Linked DNA regions of Callithrix jacchus. The protein of the gene in region 1 interacts with the protein of each later gene in a pairwise test. Links are inferred from orthologs where the notes say so. Each region holds a gene or a part of one and is shown in the gene's direction. Other genes may lie near its edges.

The links.
Region 2: the proteins of RASSF5 (region 1) and RASSF2 interact in binary tests that used the Homo sapiens proteins (3 or more experiments, as listed by UniProt). The link is inferred for Callithrix jacchus from reciprocal best matches to the Homo sapiens genes RASSF5 and RASSF2.

The regions. Positions count from the first base shown.
Region 1 is NC_133520.1:34,086,261-34,090,073, forward strand, and holds part of RASSF5 (ras association domain-containing protein 5), read left to right. Parts: intron 1-2,611; coding exon 2,612-2,722; intron 2,723-3,690; coding exon 3,691-3,813. UniProt on the Homo sapiens protein: Potential tumor suppressor. Seems to be involved in lymphocyte adhesion by linking RAP1A activation upon T-cell receptor or chemokine stimulation to integrin activation.
Region 2 is NC_133506.1:12,241,881-12,245,693, reverse strand, and holds part of RASSF2 (ras association domain-containing protein 2), read left to right. Parts: intron 1-149; coding exon 150-310; intron 311-1,061; coding exon 1,062-1,163; intron 1,164-2,522; coding exon 2,523-2,574; intron 2,575-3,048; coding exon 3,049-3,170; intron 3,171-3,813. UniProt on the Homo sapiens protein: Potential tumor suppressor. Acts as a KRAS-specific effector protein. May promote apoptosis and cell cycle arrest. Stabilizes STK3/MST2 by protecting it from proteasomal degradation.

The DNA.
Region 1 (3,813 bases):
GTTCAGCTGGCGAGGACTGAGGCTGGGAAGCTTTGGGAGCTACCCAAGGGAAGGGATGGGGAATGAGAGGCTTCATTGTGAGAGTCCCTGGGTTAACGGGCTGACAGTGAATGAAGAGAGTCTATGAGGCTCACACTACTTCCTACTCACCTCCAGCAAGTGGCCAGGGCTGCTTGCCCTTGTGTGGTCTGCAACAGAATCAAGGTTCAGTTCCAGAGACCTGGGAAGACACACAGGAGAAGGCTGGGCCCTGCTTCTTGGTGGCTGCATCTCACTCAAGTTAGGAAGTTCTTCCTTCCCACCATCACAGGTGACACCATCACAGGTGACATGGTGCCTCTGGGGCCTGACCCATGGCTTAGACATATCTTAGATGAGCATTTCACAGATCAGGTAACTTACAGGCCTTGGTTTAACAGCTGCTCATCCCAGCCCTGCAGCATGGAGTTTCAATGATCACTATGGGTGTGGCAGGCCAGCCCCTTCAGCAAAAGATGCTGTCCCATGGTGGCTACATGGTGAATTGAGAACATGGGCTTTAGACTTGATTCCAGTTCCTGCTTAGCCACTTACTAGCAGGTGACCATAGGCATGTTTCTTAACCTCTCTGAGCCTGTTTTGTAATCTGTAAAATAAGAATGACATACATAGTATGTAAGAGACTGTATGTGAAAGTACCCAGCACAGACTCTTATTAATAGATTAGGAGTCCTGGGGAAGAGTACAAAGGAGCAACAGGCCAGAGAATGATGCCATGATGGAAAGAGGACATCAGAAGCTGGCACGGTGGCTCACACTTGTAATCCCAGCACTTTGGGAGGCAGAGGTGGCTGGATCACTTGAGGTCAGGAGTTTGAGGCCAGCCTGGCCAATATAGTGAAACCTCATCTCTGCTAGAAATACAAAAATTAGCTGGGTGTGGTGGTGCACACCTGTAATCCCAGCTATTTGGGAAGCTGAGGCAGGAGAATCACTTGAACCCGGGAGGTGGAGGTTGCAGTGAGCTTAGATTGTGCCACTGCACTCCAGCCTTGGTGACAGAGGGAGACTCCGTCTCAAAAAAAAAAAAAGAGGATGTCAGCTGTGCTGAGCTGAGGGGTTGGAGGCGGGAGGCTGGAGCCATGCCAGCTCCTCTTGACAGCCAGAGCCTGATGTTGTATCGGTTCTGTGGGGATTGGAAAGTGTGAGAAGGAAGTGATGGCAGGTTGTCAGGGTGGTGTGTCTCTCACACGGCTTGCTGAAGGGAGGAAGGTAGGGCAAAGCTCTGTCACGGGGGCCCCGTTGTGTCCTGCGGGGTGGTGGTATGATGTCACAGCAGCTTTGAAATTCCCCAGCGAAACCCAAACACCCACAGGACAGTGTCAGATGGTGTTAGAGTCATCCCTCTCTGGGCCTCAGTTTCCTCATTTGCTGAAAAAGAATCCTGATCCACCCCAAGTCTGCTATACTTCTAATATCAGGCAAATTCTGGGTGGGTTCCGACCAACCTGTTCCAACACTCCCAGCCACTCAGGGACAGTGTGAAGATAAAACCGGGAAGTGGGTAACAGTGAATATGAGGGAGATCCAGAGAACTGACTGAGGGACAGTGGCTTTGACCCCAGAATTCACCCCTGTACTCTCTCTACAAGGTGAGGGCATTGACCTCCATCTCCTCAACTTCATTCTTCACTTATCCTTCCCAGGGGGTGGGAGGAGGAGGCATCTGGGAACATATGAGGAGAATGAACACGTGGTCTCACAGAAGGACTTCAACAGGACAGACCTGGAATTTCTGTTTCGTTCTGTACACACTCTTAGCCTCAATAGTCTCACCTGTAAGATAGGGTAAGATGGGGTCTATCTTAATAAACGATCTTGCAGACTTCTGGTTTGTGAGACTCAAATGAGAGAATGTATGCCAAGTACTTGGCACAGGGGAGGTGCTAAGTAAATGCTGGGTGTCCCTGTGCTCAGTAGCGGTTTGTTTCCTCTGTTATGGTGGAGGGCTCCACCCCTTCATCCCTGCCAGTTCACTCATTCATTTGACAAATAGATACTTACTTCTTGCTATGTGAAAAGCACTGCGGCAAGTGATGTGGGGCCTGAACTGGCGTCCATGTGTCCTTGGTCCTTTAGATCTAAAAGGATTCTTGTCCTTCCCATCAGCAGCATATACTGGCATCACGGGTAGATGCCTGTCCCTCCAGCTGTGTTGGTACTTCCTTGAGGAGACAGCATGGCTTGTATTTTGCATCTCCCACAGCATCAAAGAAGCATCTTTTAGCAACCCTTCGTAAGCAAATGCAGCTCTGCTTGTTCACCAGATTCACAGTCAGTGCCTGAGTGCCAGACACTTTCACACTTAAGACAAGCAGTTATTGTTCCCATTTCACAGATGGGGAGATTGAGGCTTAGAGAAATCTGAGTTACTTTCCCAGGAGAGTCAGCTAGATGCTGGCACAGCTGCAATTTGACCTCTCATTGTCTCACTCTGAGTCCGTGCAGTTAGTTCAACTCTGCAGGGCTGGTGCTCACTTCTTGGTTAGAGAGGCTTTGGGGAGGGCGTGGTCATTCCCTTTCTCACCCTGAGAACCACTGCACCCCCACTTCCACTCTGTGTCTGTTCTAGAATGTCTGTAAACCTGTGGAGGAGACACAGCGTCCACCCACACTGCAGGAAATCAAGCAGAAGATCGACAGCTACAACACGCGAGAGAAGAACTGCCTGGGCATGAAGCTGGTGAGCCCCCCCTCACCGCCCCCACTCCACCACCTGCTTAGGGTTTGGCACCTCTGCCCGCCCTCTAAATTCTGTGGCTACTGCCTGGCAGGTCCTCCCTTTCCTCCAGCCTCTAGAGGCCTCAGGGGTCTGGAAGCCAGGGCCCTCAGTGCCTTCCACGTGCTTTACGGAAATAGATCTGACCCTTTCGTTTTTTGCTTGTGTCTTTGGGAAGCTCTCTTAACTTCTCTGAGCTTCGACGTAAACTAAGTGATTAAATGATATACAGTGACCAAGGGCCTGGTACAGCGTGGCCCCCAGGAAGCCAGGACAATAGGACTCAGCTGCTTCCCTTCCTACCCCTTCGATTGTGCAGTGCTCAGAGACGAGAGGGCACAGAACTTCGTACCTGGTTGGGAAAGGAAGGGAGAAGGTAGAAAAACACTGCCCCCTGCTGGTGGCTGGCACCAACTGGCTCTTCAGGGTTTAGCCAGATGGGGCACCAGAAAATCCAGTCACAGATGGTCCTGGGTTTAAGTCTTAAAGGCTGTTTCTTAGTAAAGAGACGCAGGAGGAAACCTAGTGGGCTGGTTCTCCAAGGCCGTCATTATAGAACCTTCCTGCTTCCTGCCTGGCTCAGAGGTACACACTAGAGTGGCTACCTTACACCCTGCCTCTTACAGTGGGGACTCACCAAAGGCAACTGGTGTCTGCCTGGGTGCAGGAGGTTTGGGGGAGCTGGTCTGAGCCTCCTAGGAGGGAAAGCCACTGCAGCCCCACAGGTCTCCGTAGTTGGATCCTGAGGGTCTTCTCCCAGCCCACTGTGGGGAAAGGGATCTCTGCTCCTTCCTCTAGCTCTCCCAGGTCAGTAGAGGCAGGAAAGAACTCAAGGAGACAGATGGGTGTTGCTGGGGCAATGGCCCCAAGTGGCAGGTATGATCATGCAAGGCGGATAGCCCTGACCCCACATGACATGTCCCCGCTGGCAGAGTGAAGACGGCACCTACACGGGTTTCATCAAAGTGCATCTGAAGCTCCGGCGGCCTGTGACGGTGCCTGCTGGGATCCGGCCCCCATCCATCTATGACGCCATCAAGGAGGTGAACCTGGCA
Region 2 (3,813 bases), on another chromosome or scaffold:
CTGCATTATGTCTTCTCCCAGCAGAGAATACTATTTGTATAAAATACATGTTTTTGGAGACAGTGCGTGCTGTAGCACTGGCCACAAAGAGAGGACCATGTGCCATGTCCCAGGTCCAGACAGACAGCTCATTTGCCTCTACTTTTCAGACTCCAGGGGCCTGAAGCCCCTGCAGGAGGACACCCCACAGCTGATGCGCACACGCAGTGATGTTGGGGTGCGTCGCCGTGGCAATGTGAGGACGCCTAGTGACCAGCGGCGAATCAGACGCCATCGCTTCTCCATCAATGGCCATTTCTACAACCATAAGGTAAAGTGGATGGGGGGACAGGGAGGGGGAGGACCCCTTCCTGGGCAGCTGCCACCTCAGGGCTACAGCCATGGCCATGCCTGGGAAGCCAAGTGTGTGCTGCTGTTTAGTCTTTGGGTTGTGGGTGGGCTGCAAGCCCTGCTGGCTCCTGAGGGTGGAGGGACCCCAGGTCAGAAGGCTCAGAGTCCCCCTGTGGGTTCCCCCCTAGGGTGGTGGGTGAATTCAGTGGGGTTATACAAAGCAGTCCCTGCCGTATCCTTGAAGATCCCATAAACACAGCTTCTCAGTCCCTCCCAAGAAAATCCATGTTACGCCCTCTTCTTGCACACTGTGCCCCTAGTTGGTGTATGGTCTGGCTTTTCCTGGAGCTCAGGGCTGCTTCCGAAGCAGAGCTGCAGGTCTCAGTCCTGGGGGTGTCAGTGCACCACCAACCCTGCCCGAGCTAGCTGACCCCTCCTTTCCTCCTGCTCTGTTCAAATCCTACCCCTGGAGGGAAGTGCATGGTGGGAGAATAGTCAGAGACAGCCTTGTGCTGAAGTCCCAGAGGAAGGGTCTTTGTGAGTGTAGAGCATGAACTGAATTATGCAAACCCGGAGGGCTGCTTTGTCTGTAAAGCCTGCTGCTTGCCAGGCTGCCGAGGGCTCCAGGGGGTACACTGTGAGTATCGTCACTGTGCCCTGTACCGCACCTGGATTTTAGCACTGGGTCCTTGTTCCCACTCCCACCCTGAGCTGGCCCCTTCTATTGACAGACATCCGTGTTCACTCCAGCCTATGGCTCTGTCACCAACGTCCGCATCAATAGCACCATGACCACCCCACAGGTCCTGAAGCTTCTGCTCAACAAATTTAAGGCAAGTTCCCTTTGTTGGCTGGCCACAGATAGGGTCACAGATGTGCCTTGGGACCCCTAGAGTGGTTGTGCGGGGAGTTATGGGAATGGTATGGTTTGCAGGATGCTGGGCAAAGGGCTTGGGTTCTTTAGATTCTCATGATCCAAGACAAGGTCCACAGCATCAGCATCACCTGGGTGCTTGTTAGAAATTCAGATTCTCAGTCCCCACCCCAGACCCACTGAATCCGAAATTGTGAGGGGTAGGCCGGGGACGCCGTCTAACAAACCTGCAGGGGAGGGGGTTCGGTGCCTACCAAAGTTTGAGAAACATCAGTCCTCAAATCCTTCATGGGCTACTGGCTACTTTAGAAGGACCCTAGGGCCTGATGACTGGTTTTGGGCTCAGTGCAAAGATTGACTTCTGGGACACAGCTGGGAAACCTACTTTGAGATATGAAATATGATACTTAAATAGATGTGCAAATTATAGTGCAGGAGTGCTTTTAAAGTCCTGTTGCTCTGTGTTTTCCACAATCTCTTGGAGACCAGGTATTCTTATTTTTAATGGAAGCCAGTGTAGCCTAGCAACCTAAGAGCACAGGCTCTGGGTTTAGATCTCCATTGAGCACCTGTGAGTTGGATGAATTGGGCGGGCGACTTAACGTACCTCTGCCTCTGCTTCATCATCGTAAAATGAGGATAATGGGACCTCGCTATGGTATTGTCAGGAGCTGTCAGGAGCATTAGATGGGTTGAAACCTTTAACGCTTGTAGAACTATGCCTGGCATATTGCAATAGATGGCAGCTATTATCTGTCCCAGTCATGTGCCTCAGAACGACCCATTTGGTCAATGATGCACCACATATACGACAGTGGTCCCATAAGATTATTATTATTTTTTTTACTAAGATTATAATCAATTTTTTTACTGTACCTTTTCTGTGTTGACGTATGTTTAGACATACAAATGCTTCCCAGTGTTAGAAGTGCCTACGGCATTGAGTTTAGTAACATGCTGTACAGGTTTGTAGCCCAGGAGCAATAGCTGTACCATATGGCTTAGGTGTGTAGTAGGCTCTGCCATCCAGGTTTGTGTAAGTACACTCTGTGATGTTTGCACAACAATGAAATCAGTCATGCGCTTAACATGCGCTTTCTCAGAATGCATCCTCTTGGTTAAGCGCATGACTGTATTATTGATAAACTCATCTGCCTTCTCGATCTTCTCATCACTTCTGAGAGTTGTAGATAAATAGCTCTCCCCTCAGAACAGCCTAAAATATACTTAGCTTTGTATTGTTAAAGAAGAGAAAAAGCCTCGAAGTTGGGATGTTTAAATAGATACTTTCAATAAGTATCTTTTGTTCCTGCTTCAGATTGAGAATTCAGCAGAGGAGTTTGCCTTGTACGTGGTCCATACGAGTGGTGGTAAGTCTGAAGGACACAGTGTACTTTAAAACTTCTAATTATCTCAAAATAGCAAGTTAAAAAAATACCTCTGTCTCCTTTTCTTGTTGTTTGGGTTTTGGAAACTTCCAAATGTTGTTTGCTTTCAAGGCTGATGGGCTTGCTGTGTGAGTCCACCGGGGATTGCCTTATGTGGCCAGTAAAAAAATCCTAAACCTAACTGCCTATTAAAAAAGGAACTAGATTTTCTCAAGAGACAGATAAACCCAATTCCTCCAAGGGGTTTGAGGCATGGTGGTACTGTTGAGGGGCGGGGAGTGGGAGTAGGTTGCTTTTTACATCTATGGAATAGTTCATTTGTAAATCAGTCTCCTTACTTATATGGCAGCATCTCCTAAGGTCCTGGTCCATTTGAACCCCTGCATTGACCACTACTTAATGTGAGAAAGGCCTCAGGCCAAACTCAGGGCTGCCCCTGGTTGTGTGTGATTGCAGAGAAACAGAAGCTGAAGACCACCGATTACCCGCTGATTGCCCGAATCCTCCAGGGCCCATGTGAGCAGGTCTCCAAAGTGTTTCTCATGGAGAAGGACCAGGTGGAGGAAGTCACCTATGATGTGAGTCCCCCTTGGGTCAGGTGGTCTGTCCTCAGGAGGGTGGGGATTTGGTTGGGTCACCTGCAACTAGGGTATAGAATGACATTTTTGACCAATGCTCCCTTTTACTGCTGTTCTTCAGTACCAGGTTCTCTTGAAGCCAGGTTGAAGGTGGGAGTTACTGGAGGAATGCCCAGGCAGAAAGTGATTTCCATAGAAGGAATAAATTGCTTGAACCTTCCTAGGGTACTGTGAGAGGGATGAGAAATGTCTGCAAACACTCTTAGCGATGCTAGGAAGTTAGCAGTTGGCTGGTTGTGGTGGCTCACTCCTGTAATCCCAACGCTTTGGGAGGTCGCTGCAGGAGGACTGCTTGAGATCAGGGATTTGAGACTAGTCCAGGCAACAAAACGAGACCCTGTCTCTACAAAAAACTTTTTAAAAGTTTTAAAATCAGGCATGGTGGTGTGTGCATGTGGTCCCAGCTACTTGGGATGCTGAGGTGGGAGGATCAGTTGAGCCCAAGTGGTTTAGGCTGCAGTGACCTGTGATGACACCACTGCACTTCAGCCTGGGTGGTAGATACAGCAAGACCCTGTCATAAAAAAAAAAAAAAAATACAAGAAGTGAGCCATGTAATAGTCAGCTTTTGCTATGGTAACAA